Drosophila melanogaster: one gene and its partners. The protein of the gene in region 4 interacts with the protein of the main gene of each other region in a pairwise test. Each region holds a gene or a part of one and is shown on either strand. Other genes may lie near its edges.

Region 1 (6,826 bases), on a different chromosome or scaffold from region 4:
TAGGGTATTGAAACTATTATCATTTCCAAAACAGCCGCCGTATTCAAATTTCTGGCAAACATTTATGTGTGGATAGTAACTGAACTTTTCAAAACTTCCAGCGCACTTAATGAAATCATTGCCATTTACTGCAGGCGGTTGTCCACAGATAGCTAATGAAAATGATCATATTACACAAAAATTGTATTACATTTTATTACCTAAACTCACGATCTTTGAGACACAAGCCAACTGTTTCCAGTGCCAGCAGCAAACAGCCAAGAACCACTAGCCTCATTTGAACTTGAGTTTCGAAAACAACGTCTTTACGAGTCCGTAGATCAAGTAATGCCTCTCGGGAATGCAAAATGGAAATGTTTGTGCGGACTTTCAAAATTTTGAATCTTATACAATGTATGTACCAAGTCTGTGAGTCTCAGATCAGATTGTGCTAGCTAATCAAAAAAGTAGCTGCGCCAAATCAAGTACATGACCATGCCAAACTGAAATACAAAAGCTTTCAATTTTTGATTCACGTAATTTTATTGCAAACACTTGTCTTCACAGATTTCCCTCGAATTAAATCTATTGTTATTGCCTCCGCAGCCTCCGTAGATAAATTTGACGCACTCGTTTCGATCGGCGTCGTAGGACCAACTGGGTATATAGGCCTCACAGGATATTCTGCCATCTCCGTTTAGGGAATGGGGTAGACCACAGATTGCTGGAAAAATTTCAGATTACAAACCAATTTGAGTTATGAACAGTTAGGAACCAACCATTTTTCAGGGCCAAGGCGTTGGCCACAAAAGCGACAAACACGAAAACCAAAATCAACAGTTTCATAGTTCAGAGATATTCAAAACCTTTAGCTGATTGCGATGAGAGCAAACTGAACTGCTGAACGGCTAAAGTAGCTTAATTTATAGCCACGACATTGCATTGACTCTCCGCTAATCAGCGATCCCATTAAACACTGTGATTGTACGACAAACAAATTAAGCTCACATATGACTGGGAAATCTCCACAAAAATTCGCACCGATCTATGTAAATATTTTTGCCGCATTGTGTTTACATTCGTCGGCTTCCCAGAAACGACTTTGTTTACTGGCCGCCTGAAAGGGAAAGCCCATCACATTATAATTGTTGTATCATATGAAATATACAATGAGCTCAACAAGTGTTGTAATTATGGATATGTTCTCTTATCGATAGGAACAACGGGAAGTGTCATACTTACAACGGCCATGGCGAAAGCTCCGTAAAATATTTCATTTCATTTGATAGGTCCATTTCGTAAGTGTTTAAAAATTCCACTTAAATGTTTCAGTTGTTCGTTGGAACCCCTCTTTTTACTATAATATAATAAAAAAAAGACACTCAGAGAAAAATCCGTTTTCAACCATCTCGATTTGACAATTTCGACCCCAAAATCTAGCTAAGATTGAATAATGCTCACCATACTCAGATTGCAAATGACTTTGCTCTCATTTGCCTTCCTCTCTCAGTTTTTCAACCTTTCCCTTCCGTCTGAAAATATCAACATTCAGATCGTTTTCGTCTCGAAATCGAAGGTTAATTCTCAATTTTTCTGGGTGTACTTTTTTCTAGTCTCTTAATTAATTCAGCAACTTAAACTTTGCCCGATAGTGCGATCAAAACGAACCTTGTTTTTTTCTTTATGTGATGTAAAATGAGGTAAGTTATAAAGAATCGTCCAAAAAGTTATTTATCGAAAATCATTTATTGAATATTTTGTAGAGCATAGAGGTCAAATTTATTCCTTGCACTTTTGTTCGCAGAGCTCCTGGGTTCCAAATCGGTTCTCATTGCCGCCGCATCCGCCGTAGATGAACTTTTCACACGAATTGGTTTCGGGATGATAACTGAAGCTGGGTATAAAAGCGGCACACTTGATGAGACCATTGCCATCAATACCAGCGGGCAGTCCACAGATAGCTAATAGATTGAGAATGTGAATTAGAATGGTTTCGATTTCCTGAGCAGCTCCCAACTTACGATCCTTGAGGCCGAGGGCCACAGCCACCAGGGCGAACATCAAACAGACGGCAGCAATGAATTTCATACTGATTGCGATTTTGAAAACTATGTATATCTCCCAGCTTCCGTGGAACGACTAATGGAAATCGGAGGTGTAGCACTAGGTTATATACGCCATGCCGATCGGCAGATGGGAACTACATATTGGCTGGGGATCTTATCTATATGCTCATGAACTTTCGGTTCATTAACGAGTGCTCGTGAATTTGGTATATAAACAGACGAGACTTCGAGTACTATGTGCTAGTGCTAGTGTTTGTACTGAAAATAATGCCGGAATAGCAAATAAATCTAGGAACTACGTTCTGAATAAAGTAAACACGATTAGGCAGCGATTTGTCATTCGGAAGTGGGTTTGTCCGATTTTTTCCCAAATTTCATTTATTTCCTCTTTTGCTTGTATAATATATTTATACATTTCGTTTTCAGAATCTTTGCGATATAAGTGCATTATAAAAGTAGTCATATTTTATCAAAATTACTGTTTACACTGTTTAGTTCCCAAGATTAATTAAAATCGTCTATTCATGACTCAAGTTTTTGTGAGTCCGTCGGGTTTCGAAATTAATGACTTTCCGAGATGTACTGCTAACCACTTCTGACACTTACAAATGTATCTACATACTGTACTGCTAGTACCAGATGTGCGAATAAAACGAAATAGATATATAAATCACAATGGTATATTTATTAAAATTTATAATCAAATTATTCAAATAATCAACTCAGTAAAGAAATGCTTTTAAAAGGCTGATGAAGTTGGATGACAAATAAATTACAAACTAAGAACTACAATTTTTTAAGACGAGGTGCTAGTTTCTGTGGCCACTTCGCTGTTTTGTTCGGTTGTTGAGTCCGTGGAGGAAACCGCAGACTTTACCAAACATGCCTGTTCGCACTGCTCCTTGGATTCGAAGTTGTTCTTGTTGCCGGCACATCCACCGTAAACGAACTCCTCGCAGGATTGTGTATCCACGTTGTAGGCGTAGCGATAGAACAGAGCGAAACAGCGACCGGTTTCCTTGGGCTGATGACAGTCCTCCGGAACAGTGAGCTCACTGGCATCAGGCAGGGGTTTGGCCACCGCGGGCTCCTCCGCCTTCTCCACGACGACATCCGAGGGAGCTGCACGAATTCCGGCTGCCAGGAGCAGAACAGCCGCGAATACTATGAAACTGAAGCTATATCTAAAGCACATTTCGAGTCCGTTGAGTGGATGATGAGCGAATGATTTCGGCTCGCTCGGATATTGCGGCTTAAATACTATCCGTCCGAACTGATTAACTCACGTACTACTATACTCACTCAACTGGGTTTTTGCCCACCGTTTTGCCTCTTTTTGTGTACTTCATTTATCGGAGCGCCAGCTTGTTTGTCCAACTGATTCGTCGCCGCATGTAAATCACGGCGGTGCCTCTCTGACGTCTATATCCACGTCCATATCGATATCACCTGGCACTGACAGCTCTCGGAGAAGCTTTCGCGGCCCAACCTTCAATTGCAGATCAACGCACCAACGCAAGTCAATCATAATGCTGGCCATAAAATCATATTCCAAGTGGCTTCCGTATCGGTGTGACAATTTTAGTCAGCCAAATCACGTTTAGCGAGCGGAATGGGAATCTAACTGAATTACCTATAAACTGGTTAACTGTCGGTTGAAGTTTTTTGTGTATCTAACGAATGGGGTAAGCTTTGGAGCTTCAGAAGAAATGAATAAACTGTCTGGTTAAGAAATGTTCCTAATAATCGCTCGTTTGCGATTCTAATCATTAGGTAATTTTCAAAATTGCGCATATAGGTGGAAAATAATGCACTTAATTTCTTAATTCCAATTATAGATAAACATTTGATATACTGCTTACTTGTAATTAGTTAATTATTAAACGTATATATTTCGCATTAGCAAAAACCCATTTCAAGTAATTATTTTAAAAATACATCAACAAATAATTTCATCTAGCATTTACAATTTAAAAACAATCTCGTATTTTGTGACCGCCATCAATGGATCACTTTTTGGGAATACAAGCCTCCTCACAAGTTTGTCGGAATCCCCAACGATTGTCATTGCCTCGACATCCTCCGTACTTGAAGGTCTCGCAAGCTTTTGAATCCTTGTTGTAGTAGAACCTTTCTAGGCTCATGCGGCATGGACCAACGTCCAAGGGCTGCAGGCATTTGGGATCTACAAATTAAGGGATTTAATAAAGGTCCATAAAAGTTCTTCGATCAGTTTATAAATAAACATACCTGGTACCAGTCTCTGTGGTTTGATTGTAGTTGTGGCAACTGCAGGCTTGTTTCCCGATGGATTTCCAGGTTGCACCTGAACCACAGCCTTCGGTTTAATATTGTTATTATTATTATTATTATTATTGGGAGTGGCTACTGCCTGCGTAAGTTGCATAAGACTTAGCAAAACGAGTGCCGCAAGGCAGAGAAACTGGGTCATCCGCAGAAGCATTTTGTGTTTGCAACCTGATAACTGAACGTTAAAAGCAACGACTGTGAACTGAACTGTTCCGAATGTTCCATATTCCAGTTCTATATGCTGTGCTTAGACGATCAATTACGTTCAAATTAAATCATTTGCTCACTCTCTGCTCATCCATGTGTGAGTTAAGCTCGCATTGCGCATACGCCGTGTTGAACGCTGGCGAGATTAATTAAATAATTTCAACAAAGCAAACAGATAGCACATAATTGGAACGCATTTTCGAACTCATAGTGCTCGCATAATAATATATACTTGAATCGAATAAAATAAACAAAAAGCGATACCCTATCACTTGAAAGAAAACTGTAGACTTTTCAAATTAGGCACACTTTAAGCCAGGTTATTGCGAATTATAGAATTATAAAGACATCTTTCACGAGAAAGGTCTTCAATCTAAACAAAGTTTTACCGGGAAAAAGATGTTCATCAATATATGGTATTTATTCATAGCATTAGCTGGTGTTAATGCGGAATCAGCAGATGGTTAGTGTGTATTTCATTATTAACTACCACTCCTAAAATGTGTAAAATAAAATATATATTTAGAAATCTGTCAACTTACGCCTGAGGCTAATGGCTTTGGGAAAATTATGTCCTGTGCACACTACTCGAATTGGTTTTCCTATCATTCAGATAAAAACGAATGTCTGGAGTTTTCATACGGAGGCTGTGGTGGCAACGAAAATAGGTTTCAAACTAAAGCAATTTGCGAAGATCTCTGCAAAAATAAAGTTGAGCAGCTTTGAATAATGTAAAAAAATTTCGAATGTTTTTTATTTATAATACAATAAATAATAGAAGTAATATAATAAATAAATCAAAGTTTTTTTTTTGTAGGGCAATGGAATACCCTCATGGTGTTGTAAAAAGATTGCCTACTTTTTGCTGGCCTTCTTTTTTGTGCTAATACATAAATCTTAACTTCTGGCAGTCTGAATATTTAATAAATCATTTAATTTTTTATATAAAATGTTTTAAAACAATTATTCGGTCTCATACCCTAACCACAATAATTTACTTTCCGTTTCCATGGCCAATATTTTACATAATTCCAAACCTAATTAATTAGTTTCGGATAATTCATAAAAAGGATAAAGGTAAGCTTATTGCCCGATATTGGCAGTTTTACCTCAGTTTTTTAACGTTGATTCAAAACATACACACATCGAGGATGAAAGTATATATTTTGATCTGGACAATATTAGCTCTAACGGCGGATATAAATGGCTGTGAGTTCAAAGCAGAAGTATTTATTAATAATTAACACTTAATAATGTAACACCTTCTCTCAGTGGTTTGTAATCTTGAACCTTTTGTCCAAGGATCATGCCTGGAATTGACAGACCTCTATTCCTATGTTGAATATAAAAACGATTGTGTATACTGGCAGGGATGCCTTCTGAATGGAAATCATTTTAGCAAAAAAGAGGAGTGCGAAGACATGTGCAAGCAATAACTAACTAGTTAACTATTTTAAGATTTGAGTATTTTTTCAATCTTGTAGAGCCCTCGTTTTTTGCAAACACATTTTAAGTATGTTATATCCAGAACTAATTCTATTAGTTGTCGATACTACTAAATGCATAAAAAAAACCCTCTCAATTGATCAGAGCTCGTCGTTTTGCGATGAGGTCGTTTTGTATATTGGCCTTATTAATAACCCTTAAGTTCGAAATGGGATATGGAAATTGTAAGTTCAAAACGAAAACATTTAAAATAATTTTAAAAAATATTCCTTTACTCCAGCTGTCTGCAATCTTCAGGCCACATTCATTGGATGGTGTAAAATGACTATAAGAGGATTTACTTTCGTAGCTTCCAAAAACGCATGCCGTAGAATTTCTGGACCATGTGCTGCACAGGATAACTTTTTCATGGACAAAGCTTCCTGCGAAACAGCATGCAAAAAAATAATATTACCTTGAAATCGTCGAGCGATTTATATTTATATTTATTTATTTATATTTGCTAGGATGTGCTTCAAATTAACTATTAAAATCGTTTCCGATTCTTTAAAGTACATATATATGTATGCTCTTAATCTTGGGAACTACAATTATATTCTATTATTCGCTGAAAATATTAAAAAAAAAAAACATTTCAATCAGAACCTATTTGTTTTCTAGCAACACCTGAAGCTAATTTAATTAGTTAAAGGTACTTCCTATTTCCAGATATTTTCACTCTATATAAACCTGATGCCATTTTTTTTGTGTTTATTCACTCATTGCTAATGAGATCGTTTTGTGTGTCTGTCTTATTAGTTACCCTTTTGGGGATTGCG
Region 2 (7,756 bases), on a different chromosome or scaffold from region 4:
TTTAAAAAAAATGTTTTTCAGGCCCTTGGAAAAATTTGCAAGGTAGTGAAGGTGTACTCGGACGGTGACCTCCGCATCCAGCAGTTGGACGACGGCTTCGAGTGGACCCTGAATCCGAAATGTGTCAAACTAGAGCGTTCTCCTTTGGCAACAGCAGCTGAGCGCTCTAACAGTATGATGGACCTAAGCCACCGACGCGCTGACCATGTAATGACACCGCTCTCTGGCCTCTCCGGTAGTTCGGTTGCCGACAAGCTGGTGCGCGAGGCTGCCCAGGGCCATTTGGATTTCGTGCGGCAGTACCTGGACGTGAATCCCAGCCAGGTGGATGTGATGAGTGGCGGCAAGGCTTGTATTCAGGTGGCCTCTCATCAGGGCTACGTCGATCTTGTCAGCTACCTCATCTCCAAGGGTGCCAACGTGAATGCGGTCGACAAGGAAGGTGATTCAGCTCTGCACTACGCAGCCTTCGGCAATCAGCCGGCCACCATGAGAGTGCTGCTGCAGCACGGTGCTGAGGTGAACTTCCTAAACTCGAGCCACTGCTCTGCACTGCACATCTGCGCGCACAAGAAAACGCCGCACTGTGTGCGTGAGTTGCTGCAGCACAATGCCAACGTAAACATTCAGGATTCGTACGGGGATACGGCGCTTCACGACGCAATCGGCAAAGAGAATACGGAAGTTGTGGAGTTGCTTTGTAATGCTCCGAATCTGGACTTTACGGTTAAGAATAATCGCGGCTTTAACGTGCTACACCATGCAGCGCTTAAAGGAAACGTGGTAGCTGCTCGCCGTATCCTGTTGCTCTCCCGCCAGCTGGTCAATGTGCGCAAAGACGATGGCTTTGCGGCTCTTCATTTGGCAGCCCTTAACGGTCATGCCCAGGTTGTGGAAACGCTGGTCACTGAGGGCCAAGCGGAGTTAGATATACGCAATAATCGCCAACAGACGCCGTTCCTACTGGCCGTCTCCCAGGGCCATGCCGGGGTAATCGAGCGACTCGTTCGCCTCTCCTGCGACGTGAATGCCAAGGATGAGGATGGCGACAATGCGATGCACTTGTGCGTCATTAAGAAGTCCAATCTGCAGTCGGCCGCGGAGCCTCAGCCAGAGGAGGCTCCTGAGATTCACAAGTTTTACCTGAGTCTAGTACACTCGAGCATTCGTCCTGAGGATCGTTTGATGTACAGTATATTGATCTATCTTTCGAGGGCCGGCTGCCGAGTGGAGCTGAACAACGCCAATGCAAGCATTTTTGAGTGGATAACGGACCGCCACATCAGGCAACTGATTTTTGGGCAGCAGGGCGAAGCTGAATCGCTGCCTAGGAATCTTCAAGCTTTGGAAGTGTCCGCAGGATCAGCCGACGGTGAGGAGAGCTCTGCGTCTGCTGGAGCTGAATCCAATGGAGCCGGACCTGGAAGCGTTGCAGCACCCCCACCACCGCAGCGCCAGACATTTGAACTAATGCCAAAGCCAAACGATATCCCAGCCATTGGAGTTGGAGCATCTCCATCCACGCCCTCCGCCTCGCCGGGCGTAAAGAAACTGAACTCCGACGCAACACCGCAAAACGTCTCTCCACAGGTGGCACCGCGCAAGAAGGCGCCCAAGCCTCCGGTTACCACTAGCTCGAGCAGTACCGCGTTGGAAGCCGGAGCGGCGGGACCCAGTACCAGTCCGGTGATCGTCCCCGGTCCCCATGAGTGCATTGTGTGCAATGAGATCCTGCCGATGGTGCGCTTTGAGCCGTGTCAGCATCAGATCGCCTGCGAGGAGTGCGGCATCCGAATGAAAAAGTGTCTCCGCTGTGCCGTGGCGATCGAGCGGCGATTGACGGTCAGCGGCCGAGTGGTGGCCCTGCCCACGTCCACGTCGTCACCTAGTGACCCCACTCGCCTACCGTCCGGGGATCTACTTCGCTATCTGGAGAACAAAGTGCTGGAGTTTGAGGAGTCGCACTTCTGCGGTATTTGCATGGAGCGAAAAAGGGATGTGGCCTTCCTGTGCGGGCACGGCGCGTGCTCCCATTGTGCCGAAACGCTCCGCACATGCCACATGTGTCGCAAGACAATACTCAAGAAGATCAACCTGTACTGAACGGCGGTAACGGAAACGAAAGAAAAGCAAAGGCGGCAGGATCAGCAGCAATTCAAACAGCAACCAAAGTGGCTTGTATATATACATACACAAAACAAACACACACTCACATTGCCGTGTCATGTGCAAATCGAAATTATTATTTATTGATCACAAACGAAATTTACGAGTTCTTTTTTAATCGGTTCATCATCGGCATCGTCGCAACACGCAACAAATTAATGTGCACCTTCTCGTGTCTAGTTATTAGCCCCGTTTAACCATGTCTGGTAACGATAAATACATAGGAAACTAACTAAAGCATACAAATATTTAATAGTCATTTAAATGCAAATATACAAATATAAAATTATTTAATTGAGTGAATTTCAATCGATGTCGGTGGTTAGCCTACAGAAAATAAAGATACTTTATTTCTGAATATGCTGGGGTGACTTTTAATTGTATTGGTATTTAAAAGGTTTAGTTTAAAATTGAATATATAATAAGTTTAGAAAGATTTTAAAACTGAAATGTTGTAACGGCAAAGTGTGAACAAGTTATTTTCTTTCAGTACGCTGCATAAATTTTAAATGTTTTGCATTTTTGTAAGCATTGACTTGGCAAGCTGTCGGATCTTAAGCTCCGTTTAAAAGTTAATGTAAGCAAAAGCGGCAAAGTACAACTTATAATTGAAAATATACACAAGTTTATTTTTTATTTGAGCGAAACAATCGATACCTCCAGATTTACACGCTAATCGATAACAACGTAGCCAGAAAAAAAGCAAACACGTCACAACACTTTGGCCGCAGTCCGACGCGAAACTAAAGTAAAGGACAAAATGGCCAAACAAGTGGCTGATTACCAGTGCAGTAAGCTCCAGTTGTACCAAAAGCTGGCACTGGTCGTAATCCTGGGAGCAGTGCTTTTCTCGCTCCCGGCGTTGTGCGCCGGCCAGGGCAATCCCAGTTTCAAATACTCGCGGGAAGCCAACGAAAACTTCGATCCGCAGAAGGCTCCACGGGCGGAGCACCATCATCATCATGATCATGACCACGATCATGGACACCACCACCACGGGCACGATCATGATCATGACCACGACCACGGGCATGATCATGGACACCATCATCACGGGCACGATCATGATCATGACCACGACCACGGACACCATCATCACGGGCACGATGAAAGGCACACCAAGGCAAAGCCGGATTTGGGTAATCAACGAACTACCACTCTTAAAATGCCCGAGTTGACCCAAATTTCTTATAGATATGAGCACCATTTGGTTGCACTCGATCGGCTCAACTCTTCTTATCAGTGCCGCTCCCTTCGTGCTGCTGTATATCATTCCCCTAGACAACAGTGAGGCGATGAAGCCGCGTCTCAAAGTGCTTCTGGCCTTTGCTTCTGGCGGTTTGTTGGGTGATGCCTTTCTGCACTTGATTCCTCATGCCACGCATCCACACAGTCATGGAGAACACGGCCACGATCACGGCCATGATCACCATCATCATCATGATGGCGAGGAGCATGAACATGGTCACAGCCACGATATGAGCATTGGTCTGTGGGTCCTTGGAGGAATCATTGCCTTCCTTTCAGTGGAGAAACTGGTACGCATTCTAAAGGGCGGTCATGGAGGACACGGCCACAGCCATGGAGCACCAAAGCCAAAACCAGTGCCTGCTAAGAAAAAGTCCTCTGACAAAGAAGACAGCGGAGATGGAGACAAACCGGCAAAGCCAGCCAAGATCAAGTCCAAGAAACCAGAAGCGGAGCCAGAAGGCGAAGTGGAGATTTCCGGCTACTTGAATTTGGCGGCGGACTTTGCTCACAACTTCACCGATGGCCTGGCCATCGGCGCCTCCTATTTGGCGGGCAACAGCATTGGCATTGTGACCACTATCACTATTCTGCTGCACGAAGTGCCCCATGAGATTGGTGACTTTGCCATTCTTATAAAGTCTGGCTGTTCCAGGCGAAAGGCAATGCTTCTGCAGCTCGTCACAGCGCTCGGAGCTTTGGCGGGCACAGCGCTAGCTCTTCTGGGAGCTGGAGGCGGGGACGGATCGGCCCCATGGGTCTTGCCCTTCACAGCCGGCGGTTTTATTTACATCGCAACAGTGAGTGTCCTGCCGGAGCTGCTTGAGGAGTCTACGAAACTGAAACAGTCGCTGAAGGAAATCTTTGCGCTGCTAACCGGCGTAGCCCTAATGATCGTTATCGCCAAGTTCGAGTAATATCAAAATTGTGGAAAGTTAACACAAAAAAGATCTAATTGCATGTACTGAAAGTGTGCCGCAAACAATTTGAAAGATTTCTGTTCGTTACCTACTCAAAACGATGAGCAACTACTTAAATTTCTTATATTTCAACAGTCAGTAACCGCTATTAGTTCCCAATATAAACAATGCGGCGTTATTTAAGATTTTTTAAGCCTTCCAAATTTGTGCTTCACTTCGAAATGAAATTTTTATAAATAGTCAAAATTACACTGTAAAAAGAATCCTCACTGGCGCTTCTCTCCATTCAGGGTTGTCTTTATCTCGTTGAGACAATACTCGGCCTGCTCTACGGCATCGGGATTCTGGTGTTGCTTTCCCAGTTTCCACGCCAGTCGGCAAGCGTTCTCCGCCTGCGACATCAGGCCCTCGCGAAGATACACCAAACCCAGATTTGCCTGCAGAATGCCTTCCTGGGTGGCATCCTTTAGCTCCTTAGTCAGCTCCATGGCCTCCAAAAGGGTCTCCCTTGCCTCGGCGTACTTTTCCAGCTGTAATTAGTCTAATGTGTTTCAAGTACTTTGGAAGAATAGACGCACCTACGTTTACGTACGCCACACTGATGTTATTTAGGATGGTTACAGAGGCGTCGTTAACGGCACCATAAACATTTATGAGCGTGTCGAAGGCCTCCTTAAAGAGGTTTTTAGCCTCCAGGTATTTTCCCTGCTTCATCAGCAGCTGCCCGAACCTGGAAAATAAACATAAGGAAAAGTATTGAAAAAAGGCTTGGTTAGCGGCAATGGAAACACCTTCAATACCAATTCTTTGTCAAGCCATACAGCTCCAGTATGTCCTTGTCGTCGGGCATTTTCTCCAGTAGCTTAGCCAACTGCTGCAAGGTCCAAGTGAACCCTTGAAAGCTCTTTTCCAGATCCCCTTGCAGCTGAGACATGTGTGCTATCTTGGAGCTGATGTGAAGTATCTAAAGATGAAAGAGATCTTAACTGGTTATGGTGTCTAAGTGGGTCACCCACCTTGGGACTCTCTTCGGTGTGACCCTCGGCAAAAAGCCGTTTCATAACGTCCGTGAATATCTTCTCCGCCTTCTTAAACTGCTCGCGTTCCATGGCCAAATTGGCCATCAGATCAAACACATATGTGATGCCGTCCTTGCTCTGAATATCCTGCGCCATTCGCAGAGCCAGGTGAAGCATTTGCTCGGCCTTGTCGTACTGTTCCCTCTGAATGCACAGGATTGATCGTTTGATGGTCTTGATCAGTTTTTCCTCCGGAGTTTCCTCTTTTTCGTCGGCGCCACCAAACAGATTCAGAGTGAAAGCAGCGGAAAATGCCCAAAACATTCCACCGGAAGAGCCAGAAGCGGGCGGAGCTGCCCAGGACACCTCGTAGCCCGCAGCATTGGAGCACAGCGGTCGACATCCGAATTCTGACCGTTGGTGATAACGGCTTCTCTTCAGCGGCGCAAGATGACAGTAATCTCTGGGATTCACGACAACGCGGAACCTGCCCATAACTTGCGTAAACTTGCAAATATTTCTCACTAACATGTTTAGGGCTTTATTAATTATTTAACTAAAACCTATAATGTTGCAGGTATGGTATTAAAAATTATGAAATAGCACGTATGTAGTGTTGCAAAGCGCGGTAAAGACGTTTTAAAAGTACATTTCGTAACGCTTGATTAAGAACATAGAAGACTTTTAAATAATTTCTACTCTATCATACTTTCGCAAATATATTTATGTTTCGTTAAGATTTCGTAAACAAAGGTTTTTAAATTTTTTAGAGATGACACTGTCAAACAAAACTTTATCGGCAACTTTGGTACCTAACATTTCGTTCATAAGTTAAATCTGCGAACAAAAATAAATTGATAAGTAGAGTTATTAACAATCTCGAATAAAAAACATTTAAGTACATTTGATAAAGTTTTTCGTAATAAGGTACTTCCTTCCCCCATCGCATACGATACTATCGATAGCCGTCAGCGGGGCGATAGACCGAGAGAAAGCATCCCTGTATATTGATGGCGGATTGACGCTCTTTCGCCTAGTAAAATTATTTTTCTTATCAAGAAAAGGTGCAGAATATAACGAGGAGTGAATTCGCAAAGCAGTGCATGAAATAGCTGTGGGTCCGCCGGCTGTACCTACGTTTTATTTCAGATCTTTCCAGCGTCGCAGCGAGTTTCCAGCGATTTTCGGACAGCCATGAGACGTCGCAGCGAGCGAAAAAAGTCGTCGTCGCCCGCTCCGGTGCCGGTGGCAGTTGCACGGAGAAGTCGCCGCTCCCGCAAGGTGTCGGAGAACGAGAAGACCGAGGTCGAGACTCCGGTCGTGGCCCAAAATAATGAGGCCGAATGCCCCAAAGTACCGCCAGCCTCTCAAGAAATCAATGAGGCGCGGGCATCCAGTGAAGAACGTGCCGGATCTGGAGCATCGCCAGTGCGCAGGAGTCGCGGCAGCCGGACGACGCCTAGAAAGCGCACGGAGTCCAAGGGCGGCGACAAGAAGGTGGACACCATACCCGAGGAGGAGCCGGAGAATGGAAAGGATGTTGAAAAGGACGCTGTCGAGGAGGAAAAGACTGTAGCGCCACCCGCGGCTAATGAGAGCGAGTCCGAGGACCGTGCCAAGACGGAGGATCAGCAGGCTCAAGACGATGAATCCTGTGCTGAACCCGCTGTAGTCAAGGATGATGATGTTGAGAAAGAGGACTTAAAACCGCAGCAGGAGGTCCCCACTTCCACTGATGATGACACCAAGCAGAGCGAGCCAGAACAAGAGGTAAAGGTTCCTTCTCCTTCCAGCAAGGATGAGGAACATCTAAAAACGACTAGTGATGTATTAGACATTCAGACAGAAGAGGTCGATGAAAGGGACGAAGAAGCCTCCGCTCCTGCGGAGCGCAGAGAAACCAAGAAGAGGCACAAGGAGCAGATAAAGGAACAGCAACCCGCAGAGGAGGAGGAACACAAGGAAAACCACAAGCAGATAGACGAAAACCCAGAACAAATTCACGATGAACCAGCAGATCTTTCGAACGACAAGCACGATCCATGTCTAAACAGCAGCGCAACCAACACAACCGGTGCTCCAGTTCTGCAGCAACAACGGTCGGTGCGGAAGCGAAAGTGGCTGACTAACAAAAAGTCTTCGGATCGTACCCCGCCCGTGCTTGCCATTTCGACGGATTCCCTGAAGAACATTATAGCCGATGTGGTGCAGCCAGTGCCCCTAAGCGATGTGCAACTGGAATCGTCCTCAGAGGAGGAAGGCCTGGTCACCAGCGATCGCGATTCAGAGCGATCTGCTTCACCGGCGCCCCCATCTGAAGCAAGCAAAGACCGCGATAACAAGGGCAATACCGCCAACACCTGCGACACCACCGCAGAGGCGTCGGCAGATAATGAAGGAGCA
Region 3 (6,767 bases), on a different chromosome or scaffold from region 4:
CAGACTCTCGGGTCCATCCAGCATCCAACATCCAGCATCTGCTGGATGTGCACATGCAAAATTTAATTACGACCAAAGGATGAGTGCTTAATTATACGCAAACATTTAAGTTTACTGCTTTTTTCGCAACTAGAGAGGGTTGGGGCCAAAAGGGGGTTAGGGGGCGGTGCTGTCTACGCCCGAGTGTTTGCCTTCGTTGTTTTTCCTATGGCTGCTATTTGAGCTTTCTCATCTGGACTTTTGCTTTTTGGCTCCGAGCTTAATTAGGTGCCAAGGGGCAAGTGGGGAAAATGCATATGCGTGTGTTGACTTTCCAATAAAACGGATATTTCTTCCAAAAACTCCATTTGTTACTTTAGAAATATTATAGCTATTTTGAGCTTTTGAGTTTGTTTTAATCAGCAGAACATAAACTTAAACTTAACTTGTGCTTAGGTTCCAATCTCAAAGAGCGCTATATTTGTGCCTTTTTTGAAGTTCTAACTCAAAATGAAAACAAAAATTGAAAATTGACAAAACCATCATTGTGGAACACAGCAAAAAATTCAATTATCTCATTGAAAATTCCGTTTCAAGCGGCCAAGCGTTTTGCGTTTTTCCAACTGCCGAAAAAAGCAAGGCCAGTGGAAACGAGAAAAACTCGACAAAAATCACGACAAACTGTGGGTGGCTAAGGGAAAGTCAGAAACATGAGAAGCTTAGGAAAATGGAGGGGAAAACTGTTATGGCAGGAGGACAAATGAAAAGTGAAATGCGAAGAGAATTAAAAGCGACAGTGGCCGCGACGTTTGTGGTCCGTTTCTCTCGGTGGTTGCGGTCGCCATTCGCGAGGTCTGCCTGTCATTTTCCGCGCTGGAAAATCCTCGTAAGTCCTCCAACTCGATTAGCATTTCCACAGATTTGTTATGACCACAGAGCAGCCCCATCTTTTTTTTTTGCAGGAATTATCAAATTTTAGACACTTTTCCCTCGGCTGCCGCAGCCCTAATGTAAATTTGAACAAATGGAAATTGCATTTTTTTTCACTTACTGAAATTTCGCTCTCGTTGATTAAACGCAATTATTTCTAATAAAAATGTATGTACATATATTTTGTTCCATAATTTTATTAATGGAGATTATGCGAGTCATAGGAATTTACCAGTTCCACAAACGTTGTCTCACTTATCAATTAAAATTTTTAAATTGCATTAAATGCTTTTTATTGTTTGGCTGGGGTGTATGTGTGTCTGTTTCGTTTTTTTATTCATTCCCATTTGCCTTGACATGCGACTAAGCGTAATATTTCATTCAATTAAAACGATCACAAAAATGACAACTGGGTGTTGATTATGCCCCCGCCCCCGCCCACGCTCATACAAAATATTTGGGTTCATTAATAATAATGCAATTACGCATAAAAATGTTTTAATTTATTTCAATTAAGCGTTAATTAAAACTGTGTTTGCTGTTTTTGTTTGCCTTGTGTGCTGTGTGGTGTTTTATTTACAGTTTTTATATATTATATTTACGCCTTTGATCTCCGCAAATAAACTGCGGAAGGGTGTTCAAATGGTTCCAAGTTTTCAAAAGCTATGTTATATCATTTTTAATAACTTGTTTCTCTTATTTATTTACTTGCAGCAACTGCGGCTTTCGTCCCGTTCTGAGTGAGCAGAGCGCCGTGGCAGCTGCGGCGGCGGCAGCAGCGGCCCAGCGGAGCGCCAACCACCCACCGCTTTTCCTGCCACCCCACTTGGCCGCCCAGTTTACCCATCAGCCGCTTTTCCCGGGCCTGAAAGGTGAGTCTGGCCAATCGATCAGTGGCAAAGTCAATCCGAATCACTTCAGTCTAATCAAATTAGACGGAGTGTAAGGAGATACATCAAAATCAAATCTGCTGGCTTGACAAAATGTTAATTTAATAAAACATTGCGTAGTACAACGTGAATTTAGGACAAGATAAATAGAATTGAAAATCAGCTAATCCAATTAAAGGCATTTGAGTGCGATTAATAAAATTAATTTTTTTTCAATAATCAATCTGTAGTAACCATTAATAATACTTGCATTCGAGACACTCTTGCTAATTTAATTCTTGAAAGAGAAAATTCTACTTAGTCTGAAGTAAATAATATATAAATTTCTTCTTTTTTTTAGGCGTCTCTCCATTCCAGAGCCTGTGCTCATGCTGCTCCCTGAAGCCCCCGCCGCCACCGGGCTCATCGGTGGTGGCTCCACTGAGCATTCCGGTCAGCAGCAGCTCGGCGGCCAGTTCGCCGGAATCGCCAAAGTCCTCCGGCCAGGGATCCGTTCATGATCCGCGGTCCAATTCGGTGGCCGAACTGCGGCGGAAGGCGCAGGAGCATTCGGCGGCACTTTTGCAATCGCTGCACGCGGCAGCTGCTGCAGGCTTGGCTTTTCCGGGCCTCCACTTGCCACCCCTGTCCTTCGCCCACCATCCGGCCTTGGGGCAGCATGTGGTCAATCACAACAATAACAACACGATGAGAATGAAGCACGAGGCTCAGGACATGACCATGAATGGTCTGGGCCCCGGCTCAGGATCTGGTTCGGGATCAGGTTCGGCAGGAGGCGGCACATCATCGGCCGCTCTTTTGGATCTGGCCGAATCGGCAGTTGCATATCAGCAGCAGCAACATGCCACATTGTCGCCACCAACCACGCCCACGCAGCAATCATCCGGGGGCGTGGCAGCAACGGAGGGCTCTCCAGGATCAGGAGCGATTGCAGGATCGGGTTCATTGAATGGAAACGTGGTGCTGACCAAAATGGAATAAACAATAGTTGGCCGAGGAAAAAACGAACAGAGTGTGCAATGAAAAGGCTGGGTATTTTATTTTTCAGATTTATAAATTTGTACAAACTTCAGGCCATCTTATTTCCACGCCATTTTCTTTGGTCTCCAAACAAAGTCCGAGAAAATCTTTAAAATGAAATACCCAAACCAGCGCGTTTGTAACAATAAACAATGAAAACATTTTAAAGTTTAATAGTAGAATAAGCTCTAGCCTAACTTTAATTGAACCAAGTAAACACAAAAGGAAAAAAAAATTTATGAAAAAAAAACAATTAAACAGATGCACTCGAATAAAATCTTAGGTACGTTAGAATGATAATTAGCTGTTGTTTGTTTGTGGCAGTTAGATTGCGAAAAGATAACCCCCGATTGAACCCAACATAATCAGCAACAGCCGAGGACAACTCCAATGATTAACAATATTAATTAACACGCAAATGCATATGAACATATATACAAAATCTAATGCAATATATATACATACCTATAAACTACAGCATATAGATATAGCTAACGACGAATCGAACACATATAGCCTAGCCTATGACACTGAATCGAAAACTAAGTATAGTAACCGCCAAACCAATATTAATAAATATTAAACGAGTTCATAAAGAAAACAATAAAGATGATCACATTAGGATAACAAAACCGAACTTCCAACTTTATTCACAACCAAATGGGCACTTATATTTTGCATTTTTCTTCGCACTCCAACTTTTTGTGGAATAGATTATTGTTTCCGTGGCAGCCGGAGTAATTGAAGGTGAAGCACTCGTTCGTATCTGGGCGATAGGTCCACATGGGTTGCAGGGAACGGCAAGTACCCTTGACGCCAAACTCCTCGCCACAGATTGCTGCAAGTTCAAATTGAAGCACCATTTTTAGCACAACACAGCGAGACCATTCTGTACCTCATGCTAGTAAAGCCTAGTAGCTATAAATTTGATCGCTTTCTCCGTTATTACTTACGGTTTTTCAAAGTCGCAAATGCTGATGCCACAAGACAGCAGATGAGTGCAAAAACGACTAGGTATTTCATATTGATTTTGCTTGGGCTTGCTTTACTGAAATCTCAAACCGAACTGTTGACCGATCCGAGATGTTGGTCGTTTTATATACTATAGGCACAAACCGGATCGGTTATCAATCGACGAGGGTCAGGTCTCTTGAGCACTGACAAAAACAACAAACCTTGATATTGTTGAGTATGGTTTTTATTTTGTTTGCCATTTTGCGAAACCAGATTGCCGACTGTTTGTTTTGGCTTTTAAGTTACAAGATTGTTTTGTTTTAGGCTGTGGGTTTTGCCCAAGATGTGAAGATGTGATTTCGTATTTCTTTAGTCCTTGCAGGCCTTTTCGCATTCACTCTTGGTAGAGAACTGATTGGAGTTTCCACCGCAGCCACCGAAAATGAACTCGGTGCAGGCGTTTTTGGAGGCATCATAGGTCCAGGCCGGCATAAAAGCCATGCAGGCAGCTCCATCCTGCGCCATGCCCACCATCGAAGAGGGCTGCTGGCACATCTCTACACGATCGGGAATCATCCATAGTTTAGCACGGTCTGGAGCAATCATATTCCTACTCACCCGGCTTGGCATGCACCCATAAACGACTGCCGGACAGACTCAGCAAAAAGGCGATGGCGACAAAGCCGATATACTTCATTTTCGACAAAACTTCAGTTGAACTATGGTGGGCCAGACTTTGTCTCGCCAGCGTTTTATAGAGGTGTACATATACGCAGAAATCGGGAAGAATATGGCTATGGCTTATCTTGCATGTCCGCCAGCCTTATATAGAAAGTAGGCAGATAGCTAAGAACTGGCACATACATGTAAGTGCAGATGTTAGTCTTGTAAATCTATTTGTACATTAAATAGTGAAGCATTATGTACTTCGGGCTAGATTAAAAAATCAAGCTTAGATTGTGCCTTCCCCTCGTTTCAGAAAGTTTCTTGCTCTTAAATGATGATTTGTAAGGCTAACTAAATGTTTCTTGTGTTTCGTACGCATACATTCAGATCATAGATACAGATATCTTCGTAGAGATATTACTCCACGCACTTATTTATACACTCTTCCTGGGATTCAAATGAATTTTCGTTGCCCTGACATCCGCCGTAGATAAAATTAAAGCATACGTTATATTGAGCATCATAAGACCAGCGAGAAAACAATGCCAAGCAATTACCATTAGCGGCAGCGGGTAATCCACAGATTTCTACAAACATAAAACATTAAATAGTTAAATTGGGACGATCAACTATGAAACAAGGTAATTTAAGTTTACCATTTTTCAGAGCCAAAGAATTGCTTGCAAGAGCGATGAAAACAAAAAGAAGAATCAGCAGCTTCATGGCGAAAGATATTGGGAACCTTTAACTGACTTAGTCAACAAAACTTTGAAGCCTAAGCGAACCGCGTCGCGTATTTTATACTCATATTCATATCGCATACAGTTTTCCGTTAAGTGTGAACAATTTAGGATTTCACAGTCATATTAATGAGGTCGAGAGGTCTTTTAAAATCTTAAAAATAGAAAACACCCAATACAGATTGGAATCATACAATCTTTATTCTAAAGATATTTTAGAAAAGATATTACTCCACGGACTTAGTTATACACTCTTCTTTGGATTTAAATGAATTTTCATTGCCTTGACATCCTCCGTAGATAAAGATAACGCATTTGTTCTTTTTGGAATCATAGGTCCAGAGCTTGAAATATGCCAAGCACTTGCCACTATCGACTTTTGGTAATCCACAAATTTCTGCAAACATCAAATTGTTTAGATGGGGAGTTAAGCTGTCATATGAAAAAATATGAGCTTACCACTTTTTTAGAGCCCAGGAATTGTTTGCAAGGGCCTAAGAACATTGAATATTTTGAAACAAGCAAGTAAAGATTTATGTATTCAAGGTTTTTTAATAATTATTCCTGCCTGGCTTACATCTTTACTTATATGTAAGCACAATTTAAGAAATATAATGTATTCCAATCGAGTTTGCACTTTTTATGGCATTTCTCTAGGGTATTGAAACTATTATCATTTCCAAAACAGCCGCCGTATTCAAATTTCTGGCAAACATTTATGTGTGGATAGTAACTGAACTTTTCAAAACTTCCAGCGCACTTAATGAAATCATTGCCATTTACTGCAGGCGGTTGTCCACAGATAGCTAATGAAAATGATCATATTACACAAAAATTGTATTACATTTTATTACCTAAACTCACGATCTTTGAGACACAAGCCAACTGTTTCCAGTGCCAGCAGCAAACAGCCAAGAACCACTAGCCTCATTTGAACTTGAGTTTCGAAAACAACGTCTTTACGAGTCCGTAGATCAAGTAATGCCTCTCGGGAATGCAAAATGGAAATGTTTGTGCGGACTTTCAAAATTTTGAATCTTATACAATGTATGTACCAAGTCTGTGAGTCTCAGATCAGATTGTGCTAGCTAATCAAAAAAGTAGCTGCGCCAAATCAAGTACATGACCATGCCAAACTGAAATACAAAAGCTTTCAATTTTTGATTCACGTAATTTTATTGCAAACACTTGTCTTCACAGATTTCCCTCGAATTAAATCTATTGTTATTGCCTCCGCAGCCTCCGTAGATAAATTTGACGCACTCGTTTCGATCGGCGTCGTAGGACCAACTGGGTATATAGGCCTCACAGGATATTCTGCCATCTCCGTTTAGGGAATGGGGTAGACCACAGATTGCTGGAAAAATTTCAGATTACAAACCAATTTGAGTTATGAACAGTTAGGAACCAACCATTTTTCAGGGCCAAGGCGTTGGCCACAAAAGCGACAAACACGAAAACCAAAATCAACAGTTTCATAGTTCAGAGATATTCAAAACCTTTAGCTGATTGCGATGAGAGCAAACTGAACTGCTGAACGGCTAAAGTAGCTTAATTTATAGCCACGACATTGCATTGACTCTCCGCT
Region 4 (8,513 bases):
ATAAAGAGAGGAAGAGCAAGAGAGAGAGTGAGAAAGGGGGAGAGAGTGTCCTTGCCACCCCCCCAGGCTATCATTCATATCCTGCCCCCGCCCCCTACTCCCCTTGTCTGCCCAAGAACTCAAGGACTTGTTTATTTATAACTCCGGCTCATCCAGTTCGGGATGCCAGGCGAACCGCATTCACTATTCAGCCGGATCGCATAGTTTCCGCCTTAATTCGCTGCGCCCCATCGTTCGTCTTTTGTTTATTGATTTATTCACACGCCTTCTGTTTGGTTTTCATTTCTATTTTTACCTTTATTTATTTTTTTTTTAGCGCTTTATCGTTGTTGTGCATTAACCAAAACGAAACACTCGACCACCAACTATGGCCAGGTAAGGGCTGCCATCCCATTCCATTCTCCACTCCTCCATTTAAGAGGCGAAACCACTGCGGTTCTGGGCTGGAACGATGCCACATAAGCAAACATTGTCCTGGGAAATATTTAATTTCAATGATAACTCGAAAAACCCTAATACTGATTACTACCTATACGTTAATAACTCAATGAGTGGATTTTAACTATCAATTTAATATTAATTAATTCATTTAATTGATAACGAAAAGCTATATGTTGCAAATACTCTCCATCACATGTTATTATGTGGCATTTCGCACATCCCAAGTATAGTGCGCAGTGGTTTTGCTTGAACTCCGCTCGATCCTAATGGCCTCCATTCCTTGCAACTCCTTGCAGATCAACACAACGATTAGCTCCAAGCAGGCGGATGCGAGGGAGCCGCAGGAGCAGCAGGTTGCCATCCACTACTTGGCTAGCTTCCATGAACTGTGCGTGGTGACCGCCCTGCTGCCGCTGGTGACGCTCTTCACGTGCTTCGTGACCGCCTACGTCTTCCAGTACGACGATGTCCACGAGACACATTGCCGCGTGAGTAAATGGGCACCGGGCGATCCAAGGGTATTCAGTGGCCAGGATGATGCTGATGAATGATGAATGTTTTGGGCAGGGCTCCGGCGCGTCGCCCGTGGCCAATAAATCACTGTCATCCCTGCGGGAATCCCGCCGAGATTGGAGACACGCAAATCCGCTTTTCCAAACGATTCGCTCACAATTGCTCCACGCATGGCGGTTTTTATTTTCACCAGCGGTCATTTATTTAATTTTAATTACAATAAATTTCACCAGTGAAATATATTCCTATTTGGGTATATATATAACTCAAATAGATTTATACATATCTGATTTTTTTATGTTATTAATATATATTTTGATTATTAGTGGCCATAATTCATTTTCCTTGCAAGTATAGAGAGCATTCACTTCAAGGGTAACCCGTCCGTCCATATTCAAGAGCATCTCCCACCATATCTTCAGTCTCCAGATTAATGTTATTAATTATGTATGGCATTCGTTACCAGGTCTACAACATTATACCCTCGATAAGTGCAATTACCGGCGTCAGTCCGCAGCGCTACTTCTGGCGCTTCAGCATCGCGCTCCACATCGGACCGCGAATCCCCATCGCCTTTGTCTACAAGAACTACTACCGCTCGCAGCTGCGTCGGATCAGTCCCGCCCAGGTGCCTCAGACGAGCCTGCTCATCACGCTGATCCTGGTGCTCAATTGCATCGAGATCGCGTCCCTGGGCGGCGTCACCTATATATCGAATCGCGAGAACTACCGTAGGTCCTGCCCAGCCCCCCAATCGTACATCTGATCCCTCTGATCCGTCTGCTCTCTCTCTTCCAGCCGTTCACGAGCGCATATTCATCACGTTCATGGTCTGCTCGCTGTGTTACATGCTGGCCACCATCAAGCTGAACGGCATCCTCAATGCCGGACAGGCACTGAGCGAAAAGCAGCTCCTCTCCATCAAGTGGAAGAAGATCCTGTTCGCCGTCTCCATCCTGAGCACCGTCGGCCTGCTGGTGTTCTTTGCCAAACATCGCTTCTACTGTCACGACTTGGGTGCGTTTCAAATCTCTTAGTTTCACATTTTCCACCCCGAAACAGATAATGAATCTCCCACATCTCTATTCCCACATCTCTTGACAGCATTCAGTTGGTTCGCGTTCTTCGAGTACTTGATCGCCATTGCCAACATGCTTTTCCACTTCACCATCATCTGGGACTTCCCATCGCAGTTCATGATGATCGTGCAGGGACCCCGCGAGAATCTTGCCCAGTATTTGAGCAACCGGCCGAAACTGGACTAGATTCGACCAGGACTAGATGCCCCCAGCACGCCACTCCTCCAGTGAACCGTGTGCGTGTAATTCCCGTGCGAAACGTACAATTAACGAACTTCTTCAACTTTAAAACTAAGCGCTTCCATACCGATCAACCATAGCAAATTTAGCCTTCTTCTAATTCTTCGATTCTCTTTACACTTACACTTATGTATCAATCTAAACCGAAAGCGAAACCAAACCAAAATCCAGAGATAAATGTTCCATAGTTCCATGATTAATATAGCTATTGAATTTAACAACAAGTATGTAAAGAATTTTGCCAGATTAGAGGGCATACCGTTCTATGTACACATTCTAAATACGTGAAATAAGTTACCTAGGGATTAAGTGCACCCAAAACCAAAACCAAACCAAATGGATCGCAGCTCGCCAGATCTCATGTCAATTTCGAATGGAATGCAAGGAGCCAAGCCAGGTGCGAGCAGTTTCATTTGTTAGGCAGTAAAGTAAAGTAAAATAAATAGAAGTCGCATTACTTACCACTTAGTACATATCGTTTATACAAGATGATAACGAGCAGCGGGAAATAGCCTCCTTGGGACAGGCCCTATTGGCCCCCAACCACAAAAGAAAAACAAACAAACATAAAAGGAACAAGGACACGATTCTAATAGACGGTAATCAGACAATAGACATTAAGTGTGCGACTTTGCTGCGGGCAACGAACCAGGACCTCCACAGATTCCATCCGAGCAGTGATGGCAAATGATATTTCCCGGATAGTTGATAGCTAGCTAACTCATGCCCATAGTTTCAGAATCCCTCACTGATCGTGGATCGGATTGAATAATCCGAATGGACGTGGAGGTGCGGCTTCTGGTGCTCACGGGGTCAGAAGGTCAGTGGTATAAGCAAATGTAGCCAAGTAAACAATTGTTCTTAGCCAACTTTAATAGTGAAATAAAAATCGAAAGACGGAGCAATCCGGTGAAAACTAGAGGCCCATCATAGGTAACCGAATTGCAAACCAGATTAGGATCAATATATTTTGCAGCAAAGGAGTTGCGTAGGTGTTTTTTTTTTGTTTTTTTTTCTTCTACACAAGAGTACTTAGTGTAAATCGAGAAGAGTTCAAATTGATATCGCTACTTGGCCAACTTTGTGCCATATGTACACAGCAGGTTCAGGCGGAAGGTTTTATTCGATAAGTAGTACGTGCTATTGCTAACCTTAATTATGATTGCGATTGTGCATTATATTTGCAGGAGATCGACGTCTTAGGTAATAACCCCGTATGTTCCCGAAAACGAGCAACGTATTTATGTAGCTAAGCCAATGAAACAATTGTTAATTCTCACACAAAAAACCAAATACAAACGGACACTCTATAAAAAAAAAATGTTATACAGATTAACAAATGCAAGCAAGCTCACGCCCACTCATGCGATATGTTATGCAATAGTTAAGTTGCCAGTTGCACCTCGCGATCGATCAGATATATATTGTATTTGAATTATTGTTAATGCTTACACGGCCTGCGTTTAGCCCACTTTAACTATATCTATACTAATGTATAACTCTGTCCCGCTCCATTTCGATTCCCCATTTCCGATTATGTGCCTCACTCTCTCTTTCCCACACCCCCAAGAATATGTACTTCCAGTCGCATCCGATCCGGTTGCAGACTATATTCATATATTCATATATATATATATATATGCGCTTTATATATACCGCTCACCGGCTAATCTTCAATTATTTTGTCCGGCAAATGGATGGTCACTTTTTAAAATGCAACTTTTTACCTTTGCATAACTTTTTAGGCGACACAACGTAAGAGAATTAATTAAAAATGAAATGCAAAACTTAACTATGAAATACATATGTAAACTTTGTAGCTTCCTAATTGAATAAAGATAAATACAACTCACACGAATTTCGAACCATTTCATCATCGTCTTTTCATTTTGATGGAAGCACTTAAGTATATTTCTCGTTTTCACGTACTCTGTTAATTATTTACACTTTATAGTAGGTCATTACACATAAGTGGGCTTCTCAAGGTGTGAGAGATGTTTTACATATAATACTAGCACACGAGTCAAAATTCCGAATGCGGCGCTGTTCAATTTGTGGTCAAGTTGGAGTCCGATTCGGGTCTGGACAAAAGCGTGTGGTGGTCAGGTCCTGTATGCATGTATGTGCTATATGTGCTATCATATGCAGGCGGATGCGTGGAAGGGAGCATGGTGGGTGCGATGTGCTTGGTTGGTTGGTTGGTTGGTTGGACATGGTTCGTGGGCGGTGTTAGCGTTTGTCTTACAATTAAAATTCAGTACAAGTCTAAAAGCTACGACGGAGACGTGAGTGTGTAAGTGGGTATGGGTATGCTTAACAATGCCTAACATAAACACCTGAACAAAGGTGTGCGGCGTCTCCTTGTGCGCGTGCAAAGAGGCTGTCCTTAAGTCTACGCGGTTCTTGCGATTTATTGTAAATGTTGCTGTTTTACTGTTGCTCCTGTACTGCTCCTGTGCTGTACTGGCCGTCTATATCTAGTCCGGCAGATCGATGCTGACGAACGGAACCACCGGCTTGAGAATGTCATTCTTGGCCCCCTTCTTGCTCTTCTTGTCGTGCTTGTGGAACTCGTGCAGCTGCTCGCTGGCCGCCATGCTCGTCGAGGAGGACGCTGCGTCCAGCGGCATGGACTGTGCAGCATTGCTGTGGGTTTCCGGGTGATAGCTGATGTTGCCGTACTCCTGCAGGAACGGCATCGCGGACAACAGGAACTGGCTGAAAGACTTGCGGATGCCGAACCACCACATGTTGCCGCCCTTTGCCGAGGAGCTAAGAACTATTAGCGCCAGAATAGAGACGAGCAGCGGTGAGAAGACCACGATGTACGGGAACTTAAGCTCGCCGTCCAGCTTGTCGCAGATGACCACCTGGCGGAATAGATGGGTTAGCGATGCACAATCTTTTGGAGGGACTAGATGAGGTCTCACCTGAAAGCAGAGCAGTGGGAGCACCGTGCAGATGTTGCCCACCGCTGCGTTTAATGCCGCCTTCTTCTGCTGCAGCGAGACCTCCGGCGTACGCATCATGATGCCACAGAAGATGATGTTATACAATACGCTGACCAGGCTCAGGCATATGACGATCCACATGGGCACAAACACTACGTCCCAGTTCCAGTAGACAAAGCGATCCAGCTTTAGCGGCAGTGAAACAAACTGAAGCGCGTTGACCGCCAGGAAGAGCTCCAGCTCGAAGGAGCGATCGTGCTTGACGGCCCAGACACAGGCGCCCACACTAACCACCGAGCCGAAGATCAGCGGAATGAAGACCAGCACCCACAAGTGACGGTCCGAGGTCAGCTTATCGCAGGCCAGCAGCTCAAACATCAGCAGGATCAGGTGCAGGGCCAGTGAGATGAGCATCGCTTTGAACTGCGTGTAGGCATCGCCCTCGAGACGATAATGCGGATACCGACACCACACAATGGCTCCTACGATTGCGCCCAGGATGGCGGTGCATTTCCATATCCATAGCGGTGTGAAAATCGCCCAGTAGGGCCAATCTGGGATAAGGCATTCGATTAGACTAGGCTACTAGGCCAATTATAAGGTTAATGCCCTACAATAAATCTTGTTCAGTAATTAAAAATCTAAATATTTAGCTTAGATAAGTTATTTAAAATAGCGAGAGAACTAATATCCTCGTTAAGTGACCAAATTTGGATGATCCTCTATGGTCAGACGATTTCTTCGATATTGCTATATCCAATCTCATGATCTGCTTGCTAACCCTTGTATACAATAAATCTGGACTATTCTCTAGAAGAAGCGATGGTGCACCGTACACATATTTGTGTATGGGTCGTATATGCTTGTATTGTTATATGATTGTATTTTCTTGCATCCCCGTGCTATTTTAATTCTGGGTGACGTTGTGTATTCCAGAACTGCCACAGAAAAGTACCCACCAATGTAGTTGTCGAGGCGCAAGGCGAAGAGCGTGACAAAGATGAACAGGCTGCAGTGGACGATGAACTTGCTGAAAGGGAACATGGTCGATTATGTTTTAGATTGGGAACCCATGTGATCCGGTCGTCCGCAGTCGGAGGCTTCTCACCAGGGATTGAAGTCGCGGAACAGAGATTCCAGATTCATGTTGCTGAGGACACCATAGAGCTATGTCACTGGACACTTGGTACCTGGACACTAGTTGCTCGTGGGCACCCGCCGCACCGCGTCCGCTCCACGAAGCGATCTTCGCCCGAACAAGGCTGTGTGTTATGATGGAGTGGGGGGGCGGGGGCAGTTAGTACTCTACGCCTGGCGCCGATCTTTCACCCCTTTCCCTGTAGATATTCTGTTCTTTGTTTTATTTACACACTTTTTTGACTGGCATTTCTGTCCCGAGATTCGATATCGATAACTCTTGCCTGCTCTGGCGATTGGCTTGACTAAGGACTAGCCAGATGTCTGGCTACAATTCGCCAGATTTCCGGCTACGCTAGCCTGCTATCGATAGCCTCGATAGGCACAGGAAAATGTTATCTTATTTGGAAGATTTGAAGGAAAACGAGGACCAGCTGCGGGATTCAGACTGCTGCGGCAATGGCTGCACCAACTGCATCCTCGACAACAAGCCACGGCCAAGCAAACGCGTCCTGCTGGCTGGCAAACGCAACGTGATCCTGAGCTACACGAAGTTCCGCCTGTTGCGGCGGGAAGCGCTGGGACCCAATGGACAGTTGCTGCTCCTGCACTTTGCTCATGCAGCAGAGGAGGGGGACGGCGATGGAGCGGTGGACACGGTGCTTGACATCCCGCCCGGCCACCATGTGATGCTGCGCGTCGGCTCCCTGCTGCGTCCGTATTCGCCCTATTGGAGCGACTTTGTGGCCAAAGAGTTCCGTATCCTGGTGAAGCTGCAGCCGGAGGGGCCAATGTCTCGGCACCTGCAAGCCGTACAGCCCGACGATCTGCTGGAATTCCGTGGTCCCATCGGGCAATACGTACACGAACCGCAGCCGGCCAAGTGCATCTATATTATCGCCCAGGGAGTTGCTATTGCACCCACTCTGCCGCTGGTTCGGCAGGTGCTGGACAACGAGGAGGATATGAGTCGCCTGTGGCATTTGGTGTGCGCTCACGACCTGCTGCATGTCTACTTCCGCGAGGAGATGCTCGAGTTCGCCCAGTTCTGGAACTACAGGAGCTGCCTCTACCTGCCGCATCAGCAGTGTGACTCCTCCGCTTGCCAGGAGGCGGGCCACTGTGCCCAGCAGTGCCCTCAGCTCCGGGACAATCTACGCTACAAGGAGACGGCAAAGGTGTCCCGATTAGATGCCACCGAACTGGCCACCCACCTCAATCCCGCGATTCCCGGACAGCGTGTCCTCATCGTGGCTGGAGATTCAAGTTTTCAAAAGAACATCGCCCAAATAGCAACACAATCATTGGACGTAGATCCGGCAAACATTTATATGTTGTAAATGCCGGGAAAAACTGTAGTTGCTTATAAATATTTGAATATTGTTAATGAATTTGTGATCGTACTGGTTATACCGAGGGTTTTATATTTTTTATACCCTAGATTCGTTGAAAAGTATGTAACAGACAGAAGATATACATATATTCTAGATCTGGATCAATAGCCGAGTTGTTCTGGCCATGTCCGTCTGTCCGTATGAACGTCGAGATCTTAGGTACTATAAATGCTAGAAGGCTATCACGCCCACTCTAACGCCCACAAACCGCACAAAACTGCCACGACCACACTTTTAATAAATGTGTTGATATTTTTTCACATTTTGATTAGTCTTCATTAATTTCTATCGACTTGCAAACAACGTTTTGCTACGTCCACTCGAACGCCCAAAACTGCCACGCCCACATTTTTGAAATATTTTTAAATTATTTTATAAGTCGTGTAAGTTTCTATCGATTTAAAAAAAACTTTGGCACGCCCACTCTAACGCCCTAAAACCGCCCAAACCTGCCGCGCCCACATTTTTGAAATTTTTTTTGGATATTTTTTAATAATTTTATTAGTCGTGTAAATTTCTATCGATTTACAATTTTTTTTTTGCCACACCCAGTCTAACGCCCTAAAGCGGCCATAACTGCCACGCCCACACTTTTGAACAATTTTTATTCCCCAATATCTATCGATATACCAGAAAAATTCAGAAATTTCGCGTTCGCATTCACACTAGCTGAGTAAAGGGTATCTGATAGTCGGGGAACTTGACTATAGCATTCTCTCTAGTTGGCATTTGAAACTTTTACATGTTTTCTATACTTC

What was found.
Region 1: the proteins of CG14194 (region 4) and CG16713 interact in a two-hybrid assay, tested with the Drosophila melanogaster proteins (one large-scale study listed by BioGRID).
Region 2: the proteins of CG14194 (region 4) and Catsup interact in a two-hybrid assay, tested with the Drosophila melanogaster proteins (one large-scale study listed by BioGRID).
Region 3: the proteins of CG14194 (region 4) and Acp24A4 interact in a two-hybrid assay, tested with the Drosophila melanogaster proteins (one large-scale study listed by BioGRID).

What each region holds. Positions count from the first base shown.
Region 1 is NT_033779.5:3,694,532-3,701,357, forward strand, and holds CG16713 (uncharacterized protein), read right to left. Parts: upstream 881-6,826; 5' UTR 826-880; coding exon 759-825; intron 704-758; coding exon 522-703; 3' UTR 501-521; downstream 1-500. Other genes in the region: CG43165 (uncharacterized protein), read right to left, coding at 1-152, 211-277; IM33 (immune induced molecule 33), read right to left, coding at 1,759-1,940, 2,001-2,067; CG3604 (uncharacterized protein), read right to left, coding at 2,842-3,240; CG10031 (uncharacterized protein), read right to left, coding at 4,055-4,230, 4,296-4,509; CG42464 (uncharacterized protein), read left to right, coding at 4,962-5,025, 5,089-5,288; CG42465 (uncharacterized protein), read left to right, coding at 5,714-5,771, 5,835-5,998; Sfp24C1 (seminal fluid protein 24C1), read left to right, coding at 6,169-6,232, 6,289-6,467; CG42467 (uncharacterized protein), read left to right, coding at 6,776-6,826.
Region 2 is NT_033779.5:19,039,020-19,046,775, forward strand, and holds Catsup (catecholamines up), read left to right. Parts: upstream 1-2,842; 5' UTR 2,843-2,926; coding exon 2,927-3,305; intron 3,306-3,360; coding exon 3,361-4,331; 3' UTR 4,332-4,595; downstream 4,596-7,756. Other genes in the region: mib2 (mind bomb 2), read left to right, coding at 22-2,103; Ttc19 (tetratricopeptide repeat domain 19), read right to left, coding at 4,601-4,864, 4,917-5,064, 5,135-5,298, 5,351-5,884; Acn (acinus), read left to right, coding at 6,548-7,756.
Region 3 is NT_033779.5:3,688,699-3,695,465, forward strand, and holds Acp24A4 (accessory gland protein 24A4), read right to left. Parts: upstream 5,208-6,767; 5' UTR 5,163-5,207; coding exon 5,096-5,162; intron 5,027-5,095; coding exon 4,857-5,026; 3' UTR 4,486-4,856; downstream 1-4,485. Other genes in the region: Drgx (dorsal root ganglia homeobox), read left to right, coding at 1,624-1,781, 2,140-2,780; CG16704 (uncharacterized protein), read right to left, coding at 3,488-3,657, 3,773-3,842; CG3513 (uncharacterized protein), read right to left, coding at 4,143-4,330, 4,392-4,470; CG43165 (uncharacterized protein), read right to left, coding at 5,765-5,985, 6,044-6,110; CG16713 (uncharacterized protein), read right to left, coding at 6,355-6,536, 6,592-6,658.
Region 4 is NC_004354.4:19,191,689-19,200,201, reverse strand, and holds CG14194 (uncharacterized protein), read right to left. Parts: upstream 6,648-8,513; 5' UTR 6,371-6,647; coding exon 6,333-6,370; intron 6,255-6,332; coding exon 6,184-6,254; intron 5,779-6,183; coding exon 5,204-5,778; intron 5,144-5,203; coding exon 4,751-5,143; 3' UTR 4,165-4,750; downstream 1-4,164. Other genes in the region: CG7990 (uncharacterized protein), read left to right, coding at 738-929, 1,421-1,685, 1,753-1,971, 2,059-2,219; CG7914 (uncharacterized protein), read left to right, coding at 6,754-7,701.